4 linked regions of the Saccharomyces cerevisiae S288C genome follow. The protein of the gene in region 4 binds, or shares a complex with, the protein of the main gene of each other region. Each region holds a gene or a part of one and is shown on either strand. Other genes may lie near its edges. A codon is read from its position in the direction of its gene.

What was found.
Region 1: the proteins of SEC13 (region 4) and SEC16 are in contact, whole or in part, in a crystal structure (PDB 3MZK), measured with the Saccharomyces cerevisiae proteins. Residues at the interface, in NP_013309.1 of Saccharomyces cerevisiae: Met1 (codon at 1,443), Val2 (codon at 1,440), Val3 (codon at 1,437), Ile4 (codon at 1,434), Ala5 (codon at 1,431), Asn6 (codon at 1,428), Ala7 (codon at 1,425), Leu11 (codon at 1,413), Ile12 (codon at 1,410), His13 (codon at 1,407), Asp14 (codon at 1,404), Ala15 (codon at 1,401), Val16 (codon at 1,398), Leu17 (codon at 1,395), Asp18 (codon at 1,392), Tyr19 (codon at 1,389), Tyr20 (codon at 1,386), Gly21 (codon at 1,383), Leu24 (codon at 1,374), Thr26 (codon at 1,368), Val38 (codon at 1,332), His63 (codon at 1,257), His110 (codon at 1,116), Glu111 (codon at 1,113), Ala156 (codon at 978), Thr157 (codon at 975), Ile158 (codon at 972), Glu159 (codon at 969), Glu160 (codon at 966), Thr167 (codon at 945); in NP_015240.1 of Saccharomyces cerevisiae: Arg990 (codon at 3,082), Arg991 (codon at 3,079), Gln992 (codon at 3,076), Phe993 (codon at 3,073), Pro994 (codon at 3,070), Ile995 (codon at 3,067), Phe996 (codon at 3,064), His997 (codon at 3,061), Trp998 (codon at 3,058), Ser999 (codon at 3,055), Ala1000 (codon at 3,052), Ala1001 (codon at 3,049), Lys1003 (codon at 3,043), Val1004 (codon at 3,040), Val1005 (codon at 3,037), Tyr1006 (codon at 3,034), Val1008 (codon at 3,028), Pro1009 (codon at 3,025), Val1024 (codon at 2,980), Gln1025 (codon at 2,977), Glu1026 (codon at 2,974), Ile1027 (codon at 2,971), Lys1028 (codon at 2,968), Val1029 (codon at 2,965), Thr1030 (codon at 2,962), Ile1035 (codon at 2,947), Ile1036 (codon at 2,944), Gly1271 (codon at 2,239), Thr1273 (codon at 2,233), Ala1274 (codon at 2,230).
Region 2: SEC13 (region 4) and NUP170 share a complex: the UniProt entries of both Saccharomyces cerevisiae proteins name them as parts of the nuclear pore complex.
Region 3: SEC13 (region 4) and NUP49 share a complex: the UniProt entries of both Saccharomyces cerevisiae proteins name them as parts of the nuclear pore complex.

The regions. Positions count from the first base shown.
Region 1 is NC_001148.4:385,400-393,115, reverse strand, and holds the start of SEC16 (COPII coat assembly protein SEC16), read right to left. Parts: upstream 6,050-7,716; coding exon 1-6,049. Other genes in the region: Elongator subunit ELP3, read left to right, coding at 6,670-7,716. UniProt on the Saccharomyces cerevisiae protein: Involved in the initiation of assembly of the COPII coat required for the formation of transport vesicles from the endoplasmic reticulum (ER) and the selection of cargo molecules. Also involved in autophagy.
Region 2 is NC_001134.8:73,700-80,293, reverse strand, and holds NUP170 (Nup170p), read right to left. Parts: upstream 5,036-6,594; coding exon 527-5,035; downstream 1-526. Other genes in the region: glutamyl-tRNA(Gln) amidotransferase subunit PET112, read left to right, coding at 5,599-6,594. UniProt on the Saccharomyces cerevisiae protein: Functions as a component of the nuclear pore complex (NPC).
Region 3 is NC_001139.9:179,079-182,667, forward strand, and holds NUP49 (FG-nucleoporin NUP49), read left to right. Parts: upstream 1-1,621; coding exon 1,622-3,040; downstream 3,041-3,589. Other genes in the region: chromatin-binding exonuclease XRN1, read right to left, coding at 1-1,035; RNA-dependent ATPase ROK1, read left to right, coding at 3,312-3,589. UniProt on the Saccharomyces cerevisiae protein: Functions as a component of the nuclear pore complex (NPC).
Region 4 is NC_001144.5:557,580-560,993, reverse strand, and holds SEC13 (GTPase-activating protein SEC13), read right to left. Parts: upstream 1,444-3,414; coding exon 550-1,443; downstream 1-549. Other genes in the region: PNP1 (purine-nucleoside phosphorylase), read left to right, coding at 1-197; ubiquitin ligase complex subunit HRD3, read right to left, coding at 1,705-3,414. UniProt on the Saccharomyces cerevisiae protein: Functions as a component of the nuclear pore complex (NPC) and the COPII coat. It is one of 5 proteins constituting the COPII coat, which is involved in anterograde (ER to Golgi) double-membrane transport vesicle formation.

The sequences.
Region 1 (7,716 bases), on a different chromosome or scaffold from region 4:
TGTTACTTGGTTTTGTTTCCTTTTTCATATTCACATTCTTTTTTTCTTCCTTTCTGTTCTTTGCCTCATCAGTAGACATATTGTCGTCATCGGATTCATCTTCAATAACGTCATTGTATTTATCCGCATCTGATTCCAACGGTTTAAAAGCCCTGTATTGGTTAGTTGAAGCCTTCCTAATAGTAGGTTGAAAAGTGTCTTTCTCGACGACTTCGGCTTTCTTTATTGGGCTGAATCTATTTTCTGAAGCAACATTTCCATTACTTTGTGCCTGGGATGTTGATTCAGATAATTCGAATGAAGCAGTTTCATTTGCTTGGTTGACCAAAGGAAAGTATTGTGATGGATTGGATGCATGTGCTTGGTGAGTTCTTGCATATATAGCAGGCGATGTTTTCAGAATCGTTGATTCATCGCCATCTGCACTAGCGGCAGTTGATTGAGGCACGTATGGTGAGTAGTTCATTTTGGTTGCGTCAGTACTTTTTGGCTTTGGTGGTGCCATATGTTGCTCCACAAGTTTGGATGCTTTATTATTAACATTTCTTGGAACATCTTGCACTTGAGAAATTGGTTTAGCTTCCATTGAAATACTTCCTGCTGGCAAGTATGTGGATTGAACTGTCTCTGAGATACTGTTTTCATCCTGAGTTAGCGGTCTGTTTTCGAGTGACAATCCACCAGTTGATGGTAAATATGCTGATGATGCTGATTTTGAAATGTTTTCTGGCTGCTCCTCGCTACTTCTTTCATTTTCAATGGAGGGAAGTGAATTTTCCATTTTCGATGCATCAGTACCCCGGACCTCCACGTTAGTTTGAAGAATCGGTTGGATATCGTCACTAATAGTTTGTATAGGATTTACTGTAGACGTAGGCTGGTGGTTGGGCTCCATAGGAAGAAGATTCTTCACATCGTTGAAGCCAGGTCCTTCAATATCCATTGTTTCATCTGTAACATCTGCAGAGTCTTTTAATGTATTTTGATCAGCATTGCTATTATCATGTGATGTGTGAGATTCATCTTCAGGCATACTTTTTTGAGAATGTTTGTTACCAAAATCATTGTATCCCGTCTCATGAACTTGCGGGACGACAGGGTCGATAGGCAAAGCTTCCACACTTGGTGAGTACATAAGCGATCCCTGCGAGGAATTAGCTTTAGTAGGTACCCCAATTTTGGGAGGAGGAAGAAATTCTGATCCGGTAGATATGATAGACTCCCTTCTTACTAAGTCAGGACTAGACACATAATTAGACGGCACTGTTCCAAGTTTGGGTGGAGCAGGGAAGTCGGCAAATAAAGATGGCACATTCGAATTAGACTTTTCCATTGGAACGCTATGGTTCTGTCCAAATTGTGGAGTGTAGGCCGTAGACTTTTTCTCTAAAATCTGCTGACTCTTCAAAGCCTTTTCGTTTGTATGCTGGTCTGTTCTAACTCTTCTCAAAGAAGCCATTTGAGGCTCAGCAGCAGCGAACTGTGTATTATGAATGCGCTGAGGAGATCCCTGCAAACTATCACCGATCCTATGCGTATACGGTAAGTTTGCTTCAACTAACCCCTTTGACACATTGGAAGGCTTTGAATGCAGCACACTATGGCTTGGTACATTATGGGCATTATGCAAAAGAGCTGTAGTATCCACATAGCTTTGCGAAGTAACTTGAGCTTGGAAAGGTGTGAATGTTTGGGTGAGATCCACAGTTGACGAATTGGCAGAAGATCCCGGTGTGAACCCATCAAAAACTTTCTTTTTATCATTTTTTTTATTCAATGCATCAATATCATCGCCACCAATATATTTATTGAAGGATTTATCTAATTGACCCCATACGCTGCTTAGTTTTGGTTTTGCAAGCCATCCTGTATTAGACTCGGAAAGCCTACTAGCCACCTCACTCAATTCACGAGTGAGGTTTATTGTTAAAATATCTTTCTTAGGCAGTTTTCGAACTGAGGAACTGAGGTAATCAGTATACTTTGTCCCCAGGCTGTTCAAACCTTGTTCTTGTAAAAGAGATGCATGGTATATCTTCTGGGGCAAAATAGATGAAAATCCTTTGAATTTAGGGTCATACGAGAATATATACTCGTAGATTTCATCCCATAGAATGCTTTCAAAAGTATTCATGTTTCCAATACTTTCAAATATAACGTCTGAATCTGCCATTACTGGCTCATTAGAAAGTGGTACGTTACCAATAATAAATAATGTACTAGCTGCGGCTGTCAAGCCCTTTTTGGTGAGGAATATACCGAACTCTATCAAAAATTCAAGGACAACAGGTGGTATAAGTAGTGGATCTTCATTATTTTCTGGGATATTAATCAGAACAGCTGCAACGATACTCTTCCAGTTTTCGGATGCCCATTGACTGGTCTCATTATTAGTGTAGAAACTTTTTATGGCCATTTTGGAGTTACCAACAAATACTTGAAAGATAAGGAGCAGAAAGTGTGCCAATTCTTTTTGGTCGTTTGGCCCCGCAGTAAACCCTTCATATAAATATTTCTGAATGACTTCAGACCATCTGTCTTTACCCATTAAACTGCCAACCAATAGTGCAATGGCATAATCCCTCTTGCTTAAAGCTAAGCGAAGTGCCTCATCGTGATTTCCCGTTTGTAAGAACGCCAGGACTCTCATCTGACAATTTATATCCAGTCTATATGCATTTGGAATCATGTCACCGTTTGGAAAGGGCTGAGATAGGTACATTAAAAGTTCGTCAGAATTGTATAGTAGTTTTGAAATATTTTTCCAGTTAACTTTATCGTTTAGTTTCATTTCCAATAGTTGCCATATAGTCATATCAGTGGATGATTCATTTTCAGATATGGATTTAATAGTGGTTTCCATCCATTTGGTTAAATCCTTTTTTTTTAATTTGGCACTACCCAAAGGACCTGGGAAGCTTTTGAGCATATCGTTCGGTTTAATTATCTGGTCAATTGGTGTCACTTTTATTTCCTGTACAATGCTTGATGAAATCATGTACTGCGATTGGTCAGGGATAGGGGGGACTGCGTACACGACCTTGTTTGCAGCACTCCAATGAAAAATCGGAAATTGACGGCGTAATAAAGCCTCGTTGTCTATTTTAATTGGATTATTTTCCTGTCGTGGTGGTGCAACACTACTTGTAGCTCGATGCGTGATAATTTCTGGCAGTATGTTTTCAGCAAGTGGCAAATTTGCAAGAGGTAGTGAATTTGCAGCCGTTATGTTGCTTGCACGGGGTTGCAAGTTCGTAGCGGCTTGTAAGGGGTCTAGAGGTCGTAAGGGGGCTAAAGGTAAAATGCCAGTAGGCGGTTGAATGTTCGCGTGAGGCTGAATACTTGCTGAAGTTTGAGCCTGGGGCATCATAGGAACTGCATAAGAACTTCGGGTTTGGCTTTGATAGCTTGAATTCCCAGCTACAGGACCAACAGGTTGTGAGGTATATGGCACCTGATAAGATTGTTGATAGTTGGGTGCGTATCTAGAGGCGTGTTCATTCTGGTTTGGTGTATACGAACTAATAGAGCTTGTATGGCCTCTATGGGTCTTTACAAAATTGGGGGTATTTACGGCCGAAGCGCCAAGGTTTTGCACAACTGATGGATATTGCTTCTGCTGAACTGTAGGAGAGACGGGGGCATACTTATTCGCAGTTGGCAAATTTATGGTAGCTTGACCATATGGCGAAACCGGAGGTACCCCGTTATTGAGGCCGTACTGTGTTGCATGTCTAGCACCAAAAGACGCTGAACTTCCCACGGAGGCATTGCTGACCCCTCTTGCCCGAATTGGAGGAGCAGAAACGGTGGTTTCCACTTTTAATGCTGGGGGAGGTATGTTGGTATTTGGTAAAGGCATACCTGATTGGATAGGAGCCTGTTGTAGTTGTTGAATTTTGTATGGGTTAGGGAAAGCATAATTAACGGGAGATTGCGAGATCGCTGAGTTAGTTCTCGAAGATCGAGGCTCCTGCGTCCCCAATGGGATCACGGGTGGCCTATTTGAGTTATTAGAGCCTTTCCTGCTCTGTGGAATTGGTTTGTCCAAAGAACTAAAAGAATTCCCTGAGCCAAACCTTTGAGTAGGAACGGCAACCGGCTTTGCGTGACCCTTCTTGGAACTTTCTGAAATAATTTCCAGTGGAAAATCGTAAGCATCAGACTTCTTTTTCTCCTCATTTATCTTAAAATTTGAACGATTGTCTTTTACCACAGGAGGCTTAGGACTAACTATATTTGGTACACTGACTTGTTGGTTGGGGGTGCCTAGTCCAGTTTTAGTCAAACCGTGGAACTGCTGCGGTGTTACAATGCCAGTAGTATTGGTAAAATGAACTTGCTCTTGACGCATTCCTGCTTCCTCCTCGATAATAGGTTTATATCTTGAAGCCTTTTTTTCTTCAACTGGTTTTGAGGTTAAATTCGTTGTATTATCGGTATTAGGTACTGTGTCTTCTTCCTCAGAAGAAGCCAAAAAGCTGTCGTCGTCGTCCAAAAGGTCGTCGTCGTTTTCCAAAAACGAAAACTTTTGCTCAGCTATTTTCTCAGTACTAGTCTGCATGCTGTTTTCCGTCTTTCCCGATGATACTTCACCGTCAGAAACTTCCCAAGGAAGTTTCTCATCGTTTCCAGAAGCAGCAAATAAATCTTCATGTTTCTCTTGGGATTTGCTCGTTACATCAGCGTTTTTATCAGTAGATTCCCATGGCAAAACTTCTCCCAAGTCTCCGCTGCTCTGCGTAAACAAATCCTCGGCTTGATCTTGAATATCCTTACCAGGTTCTATAATGTCAGCTTCGGCAGACAACGGTAACTTATGATTCCCTTCCCCCATTAATTTCTGGCTTTCATTCTCAATATTTTTCCCAGTGAAATCATTTTGGCCTTCAACTACCTGTTTGTCGTGTCCGTGAAAGATATCTTCTGAAGTTTCTTCAGAGTACGACCTCTCGTCCGCGGCTGTACAACTTTCGGACTTTTTCAAAGCTTCGTTTCCTTCATAACCCTTATCACGATCATCTGTGTTCGGTGCCGATTCTTGAGTATTATTTGTGTTCTCATTATGAAAATCTTTCTTCACATCTTCCTCCCATGGAACCTTCTGATCACTTTCGTCATCTTGAAACAACATGGAGGTATCATCACCAGAATTTCTTATTTTATTCTCAGATGGTTCTGTACTAGACGTAAATAAGTTTTCTGCAGTTTCCTGATCAGCGATATCCTGTTTCTTTTCTTCGGTTGATACATGCGTTTCTAGTTTTAATCTTTCATCTTCTTCCTTTGAAAGTTCATCAGGAAGCACATTATTTGCGTTCAAACTAATTTCCTTATCATTACAATACTCATCGTCATTTATTTCATTGTCTTTTGTGCCTAGAGGAACATTGTGAGTTGGCGTATCACCAGAAGATAATTCTGGAGAAAGAAGATTGCCATCGGATGGGAGAAAATGATTATATTGAGAAGGGGTAGCATCGTTTAATGATGAAATTATTATGCTGTCGTGATTTTCACCCTCTTCTTCATTGAAAGAATCCTCTTCCACAGCGGATACGGCAATTTTCTGGGTATGTTCATTATTATTGTGAAGTTCTCCCGCGACTACATCGAGCGATGGATTTCTCGAAGATAAGTGAGCGGCAGTCTCTTCGTATTCTTGAGACATGGCTGGTTTTGTTTGGGTAATAACAGAGTCATGTTCAACGATTGAGTTGTCTGGCAAATCATTTGAGTCCGCGGTAATATCATGTTGATCAGAGTCGTTGAGCAGTTTATGATGCAATTCTTGAGTATCAGGTATTTCTAGTTGTGTTTCATTAGCCGGAGAGATATTGGTAGATGATGAGACCGGAGGAACATCAGATTTTGAAGCTATGTCAGATTCTGTACGGTTCACCGAGTCGTCGTTGAAGCTGCTGTTAATCGTACTTTCTGGTAATTCAAGTGGTTCTTCACTGTGGCTAGCAGCTTTCTCAGCAGCTTTTTTTTGCTTTTGCTTCAACTTCTTCTTTTGGTTTTTCCTTTTCTTGGCTTCAGGTGTCATTCTTAACACGTTATTAAATGAAGACTATACAAAATAATAGGTACAACGGTTTCCTTGGTTATGGCCAGTTAAATACCACTATTTTGAAAAGGGAATATTGATAACAGTTGTTGTCCAGTTTCTCAAGCAGGAGGGCTGCAAATATTCAATGACCAAAATCTTGTGTAACCTGCCAATTAACCTTTTCCGTATATCTTTCTCTTGCTCGTAAGTTTATAGTGGAAAATGCCACATGTACGGTCGCTTGAGGTTTGAAATTATGGATCAGAAAGTGATGATCACTTATAACGTTGTGTTATATTATTCAACAATGAGATATACAGCGATAAGACAGTGAGAGAAGGAGAAAGCACTTAAAAGAAGAAAGTCTTAACTTAGGATGAACTTCTGATTTTCAAAAGTCAATACTGCCACTGTTTGATTTTATTTTTCTGCCGCTTTCATTGTTTAATCATTTCACCTTTTATTATTTACTGTCACTGGCTCTTCCTCATGAAAAAAAAAAAATGGTCAAAAAATTTTGAAATTTAGTTAGCTCATCTCAAATTATCCAGTGCAAAGTTTTGAAATAAACAAGTCCTAAAAGCACCTAAGGAAAATCGAAGAACACCCTGACAAAGATGGCTCGTCATGGAAAAGGCCCAAAAACTAACAAAAAAAAGCTAGCACCTGAAAAGGAAAGGTTTATACAATGTTGTGCTGATATCACATTAGAGTTAACAGATTCTTTAACCTCGGGAACAACAAGAGAAATTAATCTGAATGGTTTGATTACTAAATATTCAAAGAAATATAAACTAAAGCAACAACCAAGGTTAACCGATATCATTAATTCTATTCCAGACCAATACAAAAAATATTTATTACCCAAATTGAAGGCTAAGCCAGTAAGAACAGCATCGGGTATTGCAGTGGTAGCCGTTATGTGTAAACCACATCGTTGTCCTCACATTGCATATACAGGTAATATTTGTGTTTATTGTCCAGGTGGTCCAGATTCAGATTTTGAGTATTCTACACAATCTTACACAGGCTATGAACCAACTTCAATGCGTGCCATCAGAGCTCGTTATGACCCTTATGAACAAGCACGTGGTAGGGTGGAACAATTGAAACAGTTAGGTCACTCCATCGATAAAGTCGAATATGTTCTGATGGGTGGTACATTTATGTCATTACCAAAAGAATATCGTGAAGATTTTATTGTGAAATTGCATAATGCACTTTCTGGGTTCAATGGTAATGATATTGATGAAGCTATTCTTTATTCGCAACAAAGTTTAACGAAGTGTGTTGGTATAACAATCGAAACTAGGCCTGATTATTGTACGCAAACACATTTGGACGATATGTTAAAATATGGCTGTACCAGATTAGAAATTGGTGTTCAGTCCTTGTACGAAGACGTTGCTCGTGATACTAATAGAGGACACACCGTTAGGTCTGTTTGTGAAACTTTTGCTGTGTCTAAAGATGCTGGTTATAAGGTTGTTTCTCACATGATGCCAGATTTACCAAATGTTGGGATGGAAAGAGATATTGAACAGTTCAAAGAGTATTTTGAAAATCCTGATTTTAGGACTGATGGGTTGAAAATCTATCCAACTTTAGTCATTAGGGGTACAGGTTTATACGAACTTTGGAAAACGGGCAGGTATAAGTCTTAT
Region 2 (6,594 bases), on a different chromosome or scaffold from region 4:
AATGTTTACATAAAAAATTCGAAAAAAAAAGATAAAATAAGGGAAAAATATATATATATTCATTAAGAAGTTTTGTACACAACGGAGCCAAGATTTCACCAGTATTTGGAGACAAATGTGAGCACGTTATGGTATTTACTTACAGATTACGATCTGTTCAATGCATCAGAAATAGGAAGAAATTCAAAATAAAATAAAAAAAATATTAGGAAGGAGTGAAAAAGCAAATAAGATGATACAGTAAGGTGGAGTTAATGTCTTTCTTCTCCAAAATGTATTCTTGCTAACCAAAAATCTGATTCTCTCTGACCTGTTCGTTTGTCTTATGTATGTAGAATCAATTTCTTACAGAATTTTAAATACTGTATAGTGGAAAAGAATAATAAATAAATACTCGACTATATTTACCTTTATCTTAAGGAAAAGTTCACTCGATATTCTTAACTTTACCGTCTAGTAAGGCCTCTTTATTACATTAAAATATACACGTACATTACCCTGCTATCTATATGTCGAACATGAATTTTTATTCTTTGTAGAAACAAATCCCCAAATTATTGCCGCTGTTCTTAACGTACTTTTCAATTGGATCATTATCAATTTTGTATTCCTTCAAGTGAATGATATCGTTGTAGGAAATAATGTCCCTAAATTTCCTGTCCGATTTGTACCATTCGTGAATTAACCAGGTCATTTCTTTATTAAATACGGAATTATCGGAATCTGATGTCTCGATTAGTTCTTTTAAAATATAGTACATTTTGTTGAAAGAAACACCCGCTGTTATGAATATAGAAACTATCGACCCTGATACAATATGTTCCTTAGGTAGTGTTTCGTAGAAAAAATTACAGACAATGGGAAAGAGTTCGAAAATGGGGAAAATGAATTCAGAATCCTGAACATTTTTACCAATTTTAATCAGTACATTAGACAGTAAGTTGATGAAGTTCATTGAATCTTCTTTCTTTCCGGTATTATTAAATTCCATCCTCAAAGATTGGAATAGCTCATCCCACTTGGCCATAATTACTTCATGGTCCCTAAAATCTGCTATCTTGAAAATGAATAGGGCAATTTCATGGTAACTTAAGGGTACAGCAAAATCATTAAACAGCTCACTTGTGCTCAATATTTTACCATCTAGAGTTTTGATCAGCTCATCTTTAATGGCTGAATCTATTCTTGCGTCTGTATACACGAGCGACAATATATCACCTTGAATACCAGCAACTTCACATGCATCTTGGATCCTACTAGCTAATTGTACAATTCTTTGTTTCTGGCTTAATGGTGACACACTGTTGCAAAAACCATTGGCGCGTGAAAGAAACTCAATTCTTTCAAACAATGTGATGTCAAAATTCGATGTAGCTAAACGGTAAAGAATTTCAGCAGATTCGAAAAATTTAGATCTTCTTGAATAATAGACCCAGAGTATATTAGATATCTTCAATGAACTACCTGCCTTTTCCATTAAATAAGGGAGTATGAATGGAGTTTCAATATCTAATAGTTTTTCCTCTCTGTTCTGAGACACAAGCCAATCATACATATGATAGTGGAATAATCTATCGTTATATTTTAGGGCGGCTTCATAACTTTTTTGTCTCAGTTTCACTTCATCGTCATTCGATATCGAAATTTGGTTTTGAGTTTTTGATGACTGTTTTTTTTCGGCAAGTTCGTCTACTTTTATTAAAGTATCAAAAACTAGGTCATAAACTAAGATACGTTTGTCGTAATATTGTTTCCTATCATCATTTTCTAAAAATCCATTTGCCACATATTGACAAGCTAGTTTGCCTTTGTCCATAGAGTTGGCAATATTCAATAAGAATTCAATAGATTTTGGGTAATAATTTACACTCAGCATCATTGATACAGCTTCTTTCAATTTCTCGATAGAAAGATCATCCACAATTTGTTCAAGTAAAGCAGTAGCATTTTTCAGGTGATAGTTTAGAGAATCATAGTTACGCAAGCCAATTTCTTTAGCCCTTCTAAGATGTTCAATGGCTCTAAATCCTAATATATCACTTGCAGAGCAGAATGATCCACAGCGTTCTTGTAAAGCTGTTGCGGTATACTCTATCGACGCACCTTTGGTGATATTCCTATTGATGATGGATAATAAAATTTCTCTAATTAATGATTTTGTTTTGTCATTTGGAGCAAATAAATCTTTAAAATCTAGTTTGACTAAATCTTTTTGGACGTCCAAGCTTACAAAACTGATTATATCCTTGAAACCAAGGTATTGGTTGTCGAATCCTTCGACTTCGCTTTCCTCGTATAAAACGTTCAAGAATGATAGACCTTCCTTTATGGACTGTACCATTTTGATCATCGCATTAATCGCTATACTTTCCGCTTGGTTTGCAACTTCTTCTGTTTTATCAATAACCCTGCCGTTAGAATTGTTCGCTAATACGTAGGGAGCTGATATTTGGGAAATTGAATCACCATAAGTGATGAAAAATTCATTTAAAATGTTAATTGAAGATAGATAGTACTCGATACAATCCTTGGAAATAGAAACCTTTGATATTATGTTCCTATTTTGTGAAATTTCATCACTTTTTAGGTTATTAATAGATGGAGTGATTGGATCAGAAGAAGAAATGAAAGCATGGGATGTCACCCTATTATCTGTAAAAGTCATGAAGACATGTCTCCCCCAAATATCTCGAAGTAGTCTGGTAATCAATAATGCAATACCGTAAAATCTGGGGGATAATATTACGTCATCTAAGTCAAAATCTTCCTTGTTTGCAGGGGAGGGTTTACTAAAGCCAGTTATTGATTGTTGGAGATTAGTTGTTGCGGTTGATAAAGTGGGCTTTGACAATAAAGAGGATACTGTAGATACAGAATAACGGTTGTAGACAGGTTTGATGTCAACAACGCCAGGAATACCCATAGTTAAAAAAGTCAGGGCATTAGATCTTAATTTTTCAGATTTATTTGATTTGCAAGTAACAAACAATGCAGTGGAACAAGCTTCCGCGGCACCATAATTTAAGACGAATGGCAGCGGATTATCGATTAGATCCTCAAAAATTTCATCAGGAGTACGATATTTATAAATTTCGATAGAAGTGCTCGTCAAAACTGCTACCCTTAAAGTTTCTGATGTGTACTGTGTCGCAAATTCGTTAGCAAATCCTTGTGGCTTTGTCGTTGCATTAAACAACCCCGATAAGGGAATAATTTGTTGAACTGGGCCCGCAGTTTCCAAAAACGTGGCATTTTCAACGTACTTACCGTGTGTTTTCAAGATACCATAATCTGGAACACTAACGAAAAGCTTATGTTGTAAAGTAACTGGCTGTTGTTTGACAGTTTTAGACCCTGCGGTAGCGGTCGTTCCAGTAACAGATGAGTTCTCTTTTTTTTCTTGTTGATGAGTTTGCTGAGATGACTTGATCACAGCGGAAAAAAATATGCCTGGGGAAATAATTGTACTTGCTTTTGTAGTCTCTAGTAATACAGATGATTTCTTTTGGAATTTTAAGAGGACTGGTTCGGAAGACATTAGATTTGAAAAGAAAGGAAAGCTTCTCTTCGCCTGTTCCTGTTGTTGATGTAGTAATTCTTGTTGGATGACTTCAGGAGTTACAGAACTAGGGGGGAACTTGATCGATTCTAACCTCAAAGCTTCGATGTTAAATCTGCCCATGGAACCATTAAAGTACAAACGCACACCACCTACTGTTAAAGCAACTAAAAACAAATTGTTGTTTTCTTCTGGTGCAACAGAGCTTATCTTGACAATTTTTAGGTATTTGGGGCCCAAAATCGGTGCTGCCCTTGCCGTCGTGGTACCTATGATCCTACTGATGTAGGCAGGCTCAATTGACATGGGTCCTTCCAGTGATTTTTCTGTTATTACGTATGCTCTAATGGTGGATTTGGAGGATAATGAATAGATGATTCCTCTTTGTTGGTCAATAGTTAGTTGCGTGATGGTCTCTTGAGAAAATCCGCCATTACCGTTAGAATTATCTTCGAACAAAGCCTGAATAAAATCAACACCTGGAATCTGCGATAACATGTTAGTAGGTAGAAGACTTAATAGGGCAGACTTTGTCAGACAGACCTTACTACATTTACTATTGAACCAGTCATCGGAACCTGAGTAGTGCAACTCCCAGATATTCAGGCCACTGGCTTGGCCTGCGAAGAAAATTCTACCCGATCTTTCATGAGACACAATGTCTATTACATCAATGCCTTGTACAGGGACTGATAGATGTGTATTGAATACACTGAGTTCGTTGGTGGCTTTGTCTAAGGAAATAGCAAACATGAAAAGCTCCATTGTCGTGCTTATCAAAAGTAGATGCTTCACGGCAGGCACAAAGGTGTTTGGCTTAGGTCTTACCAAGGCGACTTTTTGAATGGTATGCTTCATATCATCTACCACCTGATACTCATTGTCATTGTTAATATTCCAGAGTATCAGTTTATTATCAATAGTTATCCAACATCGATTTAACTCCGGGAAAATACCCATATCAGTTTTTGTCTGTGAAGTGGAAAATTCATGCAAAATCTCGTCCGGAATGTTGAACACATCTTGCTTTTCAAATGGAGTAAACGCTCCTAAGCCGTTTTTTTCTCTGCTGAAGTTATAATCTACCCCGCTGTTATAATAAGATCGTTCGTCGAGTACGGGAGTGTTACTATCTTTATGTTGTAGATGGTCAATGTACTTTCCCGCTAAGTCCAGGGGCTTAGAAGTCCCCATCCCGGAAACACGAATGTGCTCATTCATGTTGGACATATTAGGATTGATGCTGCCAGAGGTCGCCCCCATTGCGCTTGCCCTCATGAGTGGGTTGGACCCGGTAATTGGATATGAGTTTAATATGTGTGTAGGTTGTTGTTGCGCCTTGGTTGCAGATGAGGCCAACTCATTCAGTCCATTCCTGGGTACTTCTTGATGATTCGTTAAAGGGTACGATCTGCTATCTGAAAACGTTTCACCGGCAGCAGCGGGCCCATTGTTGTGGAAAAAACTTTGAAACATGAACAACCGCTAGAAAGAGAAGTAATAAACGCACTCTGCTTTTTTGTCCGCTTGTCAGATCCTAGGTTCCAGTAATTCTCCGAAAGAACTGTTCACTAATATGTTCAGAATTCTACAATATTAATGTCCCATCTCGAAAAATTGTTTTTTTTTTTACAAATAAAGTAACAATCCTTCGTGCAACACGATATAGAGTACATTGAAAGCGTGTCACAAAGAACACATCCATAATCATGGTCCATTGCAAACATTTCAAAGTAAAGAAGAGGATATTTGGGTCTTAGAATCTCATTGGAAACAATCCTCGTTTACTAGAGACGTTAATTCCACTTTCAAAAGCCCTGAAAGATTAACTTTCTGATTTTAGGTTTATTATTTTTTTGTTGTATGCCCTTGTTAAAAATTTAAATAACCCTTGTTTAGATAGGGTTTAGTTTTCCCTTTTGTTATGATAATAGTAGTTATAGTAGTAATAAGCTTGACGTGATGTACTTAGTCGTACCACCTAGTAATAGTGTTATTGTTAGCATTCCTGTCCAAAAAGACCAGAGTAGGAACTAGATATGTTGCGGCTTGCACGTTTTTATTCTTTGGCCAGAACCAAAGCCATACATAGTCACGGTGCACCCTTCAGGCCGGAATATGCATTGAAGTGTGGATTGGAGATTCATACGCAATTGAACACCAAAAACAAGCTTTTTTCACAATCAACGAATAGCGCCACATCTCTAGTGGATGCACCAAACCATCATACTAGTTATTATGACATAGCTCTACCGGGAACGCAGCCGGTTTTGAATCTGGAAGCAATCTTGTTTGCCATGAAACTATCCTTGGCACTGGGTTCTCAAGTGAATAGCATATCTCAGTTTGATAGGAAGCATTATTTTTATGGAGATCAACCTCAAGGCTATCAACTGACGCAGCACTACAGGCCGTTTGCTCGGGGTGGGAAGATCAATCTGTCGAAGGAATTGGATGATATCGATGAATCAGCCAAGGAAATCGGTATCTTACAGTTGCAGATAGAGCAGGACACGGGGAAGTCACACTATACAGAGACAGATAAAGACGTTATTACTTTGGTTGATTTAAATAGGTCGAACGTCCCGCTTATCGAATTGGTAACTAAACCAGATTTCAGTGATATTAAACAGGTTAGAGCGTTTATTAAAAAATATCAGAATTTGGTACGTCATTTGCACATTTCCTCTGGGGACCTGGAAACGGGCGCCATGCGAGTGGACGTTAACCTCTCAATTAATGAATATGCACGCGTTGAGTTGAAGAATTTACCCAATACTAGTTCCATCATCAATGCAATCAAGTACGAATATCAGCGGCAAGTTGAGTTGATTTCTGTGGGTGACACTAGCTCACTGATGGAGCCAGAAACAAGGGGCTGGACAGGCTCATCAACGGTGAAGTTGAGAAGCAAAGAAACCACGATCGATTACAGGTACATGCCTGATCCAGAATTGCCGTATATCAACCTCGCACCAGACGTTATCAGTGGTGTGAGAGGGTTGATGCCCCAATTACCGGACGATATAATGAGA
Region 3 (3,589 bases), on a different chromosome or scaffold from region 4:
AAATTGAGACAGATAATTTAACCAGACACCTAATCTCTTTAAATTTATTTTACCATGTTCATTAATGTAGCCATCAGTATGTAAAAGAGCTTCTTTGAACGTTTGTAACAAAACGGGAAATGCTCCTTTGTTAAGGTGCAAATCTGGCAAATTGGGCAAGAAATCATTACCAATGACGAACATGACAAGAATAAAATCATCCAAAATACGTTCAAAATTGTATTCAAATTGCATTTCATCGGCAATTTCTTTGAATTCCAACTCCATGTATTCTCTTAATAAAGAAAGATGTAATAAGTAGAAATTTTGATGTTCAAGCGATTTTTTTTCACTATTTCTTCTACCAAATGTCACTTCTTCTCTCAATAACGCAAAATGTGGCCCATGAGTAGACAAACCCAGCATAATCAAATCTGCGTCAAGACCGTAAATACAATGTCTCGTATTCTGGTTGAAATCCTTTTGGGATTTTAAATGCCTTATAAAGTTCATGATCTTGTGTTCACCTTCACCTGGAACTTCATGGCCAGAAAATATGATTTGCACTTCCCTCCATTTGGAATCGTTAGAAATCTTGTCGTGAATAAAATATTGTAAGTTTTTGGTCAATTTGGCCATAAACTCCGTACCTGGAGTAATAGAATTCGAATCAAATGGCTCACCCTTAGGAATCTCGTCACCATTCTCAATAGCCTTCTTCAAGGCTTTTTCTGCATCCATAGCGGTTCTGAATCTACGAGCTCTTTGTTGATTCATCTTGGCACGAGGGGCCACACCATCAATAGCCATGTAGAAAATCTTCTTGGGCTTGATTGTTTGAAAAAGGTGATCGATATACGTACAGATTTTTGCAAAAACCTCTTCTTCAGTTAATCGCTTGGTTACATCATCGTCGTTACCATGCGTACAATTATGTAAAATCGAATTCATATCCAGGTATAAGTTATCAAACTCAGGAATCTGTGTTCCCTCAATAAGCTGTAAAATCATGGGCCATCTTTCTGAGATGTACCTGAAAAATTTTGGAATACCCATACCGTACTGATATATATTTGTTGCTGCTGTTGTTACAAGTGTTGATTTTTTTTCTCCTTATAGTACACGAATCGTCCTAGGATTAGTCAATTGCTTATTGTGAACCCGATTATAAGTACGGAAGAAGACAGTATCCTTTAGAAAATAAACTATTAACAGGAACGGAAATAAAAGGCAGAGAGAAAATAATAAAAGAATCGGTTCGCTTGTGCGAACGCCAAACAGATTTTATAATAACGGAAGAGCTGCTGAAAAAAAAAGCAAGCTGCAACTGTTATATTTGCGTAGATAAACTTTACAACCGGTAATTGGAAGTCGTAAGTACTTAGTTTGACGTTTTCAGTACTCGTTAAACTACTCCTTAAATTGCTTTCTAACCTCTTCTTGTTTGTCTCTGTTGTTACTTGCTCTGCGGTGGCGAAAAGACGAGCAAAGGAGGTTGTATATATCACTCAACACGGAATGTATTACAGCTTTCTCAAATAAATGTAGTTGAAAAAGACCATTAATCGTGAGAATAGTTACTGATCAGGTGATGAGACGATAAAAACAGTAATTGAGAGGGTTTTCACGGGTAGTGGGCACAATGTTTGGATTAAATAAAGCATCTTCGACACCTGCAGGTGGGCTCTTTGGTCAGGCCAGCGGAGCTAGCACTGGAAACGCGAATACTGGGTTTTCGTTTGGTGGGACTCAAACTGGACAAAACACCGGCCCAAGTACAGGTGGACTATTTGGCGCTAAACCAGCCGGATCTACAGGAGGATTAGGTGCATCATTTGGTCAGCAGCAACAACAATCTCAGACAAATGCATTTGGAGGAAGCGCCACCACCGGAGGGGGCCTTTTCGGTAACAAACCTAACAATACGGCGAACACTGGGGGCGGGTTATTTGGCGCTAATTCGAACAGTAATTCTGGCAGTTTGTTTGGTTCCAACAATGCACAGACGAGTCGTGGTTTGTTTGGTAATAATAACACTAATAATATCAATAATAGTAGTAGTGGCATGAATAATGCAAGCGCTGGACTATTTGGCTCTAAACCTGCAGGAGGCACTTCTTTGTTCGGTAATACAAGCACCTCTTCGGCCCCTGCGCAGAACCAGGGCATGTTTGGTGCAAAACCAGCTGGTACATCTCTATTCGGCAATAATGCAGGTAATACGACCACTGGTGGAGGGTTATTTGGCTCCAAACCGACAGGAGCAACGTCTTTGTTTGGTTCATCAAATAACAACAACAATAACAATAATAGTAACAACATCATGAGTGCGTCAGGCGGGCTATTTGGTAATCAGCAGCAGCAACTGCAGCAACAACCACAAATGCAGTGCGCATTGCAAAATCTATCTCAGCTCCCTATTACCCCAATGACACGGATTTCCGAATTACCACCTCAAATACGTCAAGAAATTGAACAACTAGATCAATATATTCAAAAACAAGTGCAGATCTCGCACCATTTGAAGGCCGATACAATCGATCATGATGAATTGATAGATTCCATTCCTCGTGATGTTGCATACCTACTGAAGTCAGAATCTGCAACAAGTCAATATTTAAAGCAAGATTTGAAGAAAATATCCTCATTTAAATCGCTAATCGATGAGGACCTTCTAGACACGCAAACTTTTTCGGTGCTCTTACAGCAACTATTAACTCCGGGAAGCAAAATTTCTTCTAATGACTTAGACAAATTCTTTCAAAAGAAAATTCATCTCTACGAGAAGAAGTTAGAGGATTACTGCCGTATTCTCTCTGATATAGAAACTGCGGTAAATGGCATTGATACAGATTTATTTGGCGCCCCAAATAACCCTAATTCTACAGCTATCACAGCAGATCTAGGTTCATCCGAAGCAGAGAACCTACTGCAGTTGAAGACAGGCTTAGCTGCCATAGTCTCTACTGTCATTGAGGAATTCACACTGTTTATGGATATCGCTGAGAGAATCGCCGTGTTACATCAAAAAACGAAAACACTGGCATCATTGAGCATATGAGTAAATCGCCCTGAAAGTTTATATAGTGCGTATAACAAGTACAAATGTCTTGTACAAATGTAATTTATACTAAATGCAATAGAATATAACATCAATCACAGTTTTTCAGTCACCATAATGGCGTCTTAGAGGCCGAACTAACTTTTCTTCGTGAAAAATTTTTTGCGATGAGATGGGAAGGAAAAAAAGTAATATTGACATCTTCAATTGAGAGATATTACCTGCAAAAAGGTACATACGATAGTAGAAGTTATCGAACAGGCAAGCCACCATGGATATTTTTAGAGTATTAACTAGAGGAGCTTCCGTGAAGAAAGAGTCAGGCCCAAAGGCTAAGGCAGCAGATTACAGCGTTATAAATGGAAATGATGAGAATCATAAGGAAGATAATAATGAAAGCCAGATCGTGAAAGAACTTGATTTCTTTCGAAACAAGAGAATCATTAGCAAGGTAGAGGATGATAGAGAGAAGACAACCGAAAACGATTCTCCAAACAAAGAGGAGAAGAGCGGCAATGATGATGGTCTGATAAAACCAGTGATTACCAA
Region 4 (3,414 bases):
GACATTGCGGATGGAGGGTTTTGGCCTTAAGTTTGATTACCAATACTTGCGTGGTGGATAGCCCTGCCAGTGCGTTGGACGAATCACCTGTACCCTTAGAAAAAGGCAAAGCGACTCACGCTGAAGTACTGGAGAATGGTAAAATCGCCTCTAATGACGTGCAAAACTTAATTGCTGCCGTAATGGGGGAATTATAATTGTTATAACTTAAATACCTCTATTTATTACATAGCGGGAAGATGTACCTTCGGCCGGTAGAATAATTTCGCCTGTTCTATTGAAGAAAAACAGTCTTATATATCTATTGTATATACGTCGATTATTTTTGTTCGCTTGTTTTTGTATAAGAAATATCTATGACAATATTAATATAAGAAGTTGCAAAAAAAAAACAAAGAAAAAAGTTGAAAAGTTTTTGAAAACTTCCACAAATCTTTAATTGTTATACGTTACTGTACATTATGCGTTTATTTCCCTTCAAATTCGTCGATAGACTCATTTGCATTCTTTTTTCTTTTGAGATGTTTCATTTTAAATTCTTGATACTCTTCACTGATGAACTTCACCAGCGGGTTCCCATTTACCCTCAAGATTTTCCTTCCATAAAGTAACTTTATTATCGCCACCGGAAAGAGCTAGTACATTACCTGACAAAGACCAACTGGCTCTCCATAAAACATCTGGGAATTTTTCTTCTTTTAATAAAGTTTTTTTCCATGGGCCTTGTTCATTGTCTTGAGTCCAAATAATACAGGTGCGATCTTGAGAAACACTGGCCAAATAAGAACGTAGAAGAACAGTAGGTGACCATGCTACGTCTCTAACCCAATCGCTGTGACCTTCTAAGGTGCTTTCCAGAACATAAGTTTGGGCATCTGAATTGTACTTCCAAATCTTTACCAAATTGTCAGCACCCCCAGTAACAAACTTGCGAGATTCTTTAGTACCGTTGTGTTCACCATCTTCTTCGATGGTAGCTGGAGCCCAAGAAGCAGAGTTAACGCCAATGGCATGAGCATCGATGATTATTGGGGAAGTAGTACCGTTTTCTTTGAACTCTACTACGGAGACCTTACCATCAGAGGAAGCAACCAGCAGTAGGGGGCCATATTCATGAGGAGCCCATTGAACAGAGTTGACAGAAGCAGAGTGGACAGCATGAACGGCAATTTGAGACCATCTACCGTTTTCTTCCTTCCAAATCAACACTTTACCATCATAAGAACACGATGCCAAAATGGTTCCGAATTTAGGATGTGCCCAATCAACACGCCAAACTGGGCCTTCGTGGCCAGTCAACGTGTCTATTAACTTGTGTGTTTCTCCTTCGACTTCAAAGATCTTGATTGTCTTGTCAGAAGAGCAGGTTGCAAGGCGCTTCCCATAATAGTCTAGAACAGCGTCATGGATTAATTCGTTGTGCGCATTAGCTATGACGACCATTTGTATGCTGATATAAAATTATCTGTTATCTTTGCGCTTGTAAGTTATTATTATTCAGAGCTGGAAGCCAATTGTATCACCTTCGCCAATGCACTTTCACTGTTCGAAATTGTGTTGATCTCAATGGGGTTAAAGCTCTAGGGTGGTAATTCTCTGTCGGTTTCGCTTTTTTTCTTCTCGCTGTTCGCTTTATTGAAAACTTTCGGGTAATGCGTGGGTGATTTCTATGGATAGTCTATGTATATATCTATACAAACCACATCATATGGCGAATATCTGAACATTGAAGTCCCAGCCCGGGGGACCTTGTGCTTGTTGTTGTTGTTGTTGCTCTTGCTGCCGGTTACCATTTGCATTTAATTGTGCTCCATTGAAACGGACATTCCAGCCTCTACGGGCCGCCAGTGTACTCATTAATATACTTAATAGGAATATCCCCAAGATACATCCCATCGTAACAAGATCCTCCATTTGGAAGCCCAAAATCTCGGAAGCCTCCTCTTGGTCGTCACCCCTATGGTTAGCTCCATTCTGCACTACAGTTCTGTGTTTGTGAGAATCTTCCGCAGCTTTGTCACTATCCTCCTTATGTCTCATTCTTTGTAGAATCTTCGTCAATTGCTTGTACCATGAAGTCTTCGAGTGCTGAGTATCTTCGTTAGGGTTAAGTGGCGAGGAAGGTTTCCAGTAGTTTACTTTTTCTCTGGTGATCCAAGTCAACCATGACTTTAGGTGTAATTTTAAAACACTCAATTTGGAAGCCAAGTAAAATCTATGATCGTGTTCTGAAACTTGGTCGTAGTAACGTTTAGCAAGATGGAAATCTCTGTTTACACCTAGCCCATGCTCATGCATGTACCCTAAGTTCCAGATAGCCTGTATAGAGTACTTCAAAGCTGCACCCTGATAAAGAGCCATAGCTTTACTGTAATTCTGCATCTGAAAATAGATATCTCCCGCGACAACACCAGCATCTATATTTCCCTGTTTAAACGCTCTTGTATAGTAGGAAATTGCCAAAGTTTTTCTCTGATCTGTGGTTCTTGGAGGATCCTCAAACTCATATGGCAACTGGTACATTAAGTAGGCGGCAGAGACTTGAGCAGTCTCGTAGCCTTGCTCGGCTAGTTGGGAATAAGCCCATAAAGCCACTTCTGAACGATCGTTGATTAATGCGGCAAATGCTGTCCTCAGTTTAGGTGCCATAATAGCTTCGTTTTTGTCAACGAATGTTTTGAACAGGTAAGCAGTGTTTTCCACACTACTCTTACTGTTCATTCCAGATTCGATCATTACTGCAAACTCATATATGGCTGGAATGAATCCATTCAAGTAGGCAGTTTCCATTAAGTTAAATGGGTCGCCGATTTTTTCTTCAGGGAATGAAGTGGCCAATTTGGATAATTGGAATTCTACGATTCCATTGTTAGCTTGTGTTTTCATAGCTTTCATATAATACGAAATTGCTTGAGAAATATTGTTTGTGATGTATTGATTTATTAAGCCCAGATCTATGCACGCTCTACCTATAGGTCCCTGTGCCCTTCTGCTTATTTCTAGCGACGTGGTCAGGATCTCTTCGGCCATATGAATATTAGGCTTCGAGGAGCCTTCGCCGGTGAAATACATGTGCCCCAATAATTGTAAGCAACGGACGTAGTAAAATACTTGCAAAGGATCCAAATTGTCGACATGAGGCTGAAATTCCTTGTACGTTAATTCCAACAAGTTTTTGGCGCGCTCACAATTTCTGCTTTGTGAATATGTTCCTTTATAATCATTCAAAGCTGCATAATATATCCGAATGATTCGTCTTTCACTGGCATCCTCGTCATCTTCGTCGCCATTTATGTTGCCATCGTTACCGTTGAAAGCGAACCTACCCATCGGTTCGATTTGCAAGGTCATCTGTACACCGTTAACTTGCGCAATAAAGGGTGAACCAATATCTGGTCTCGTAGTTCTTTTCCT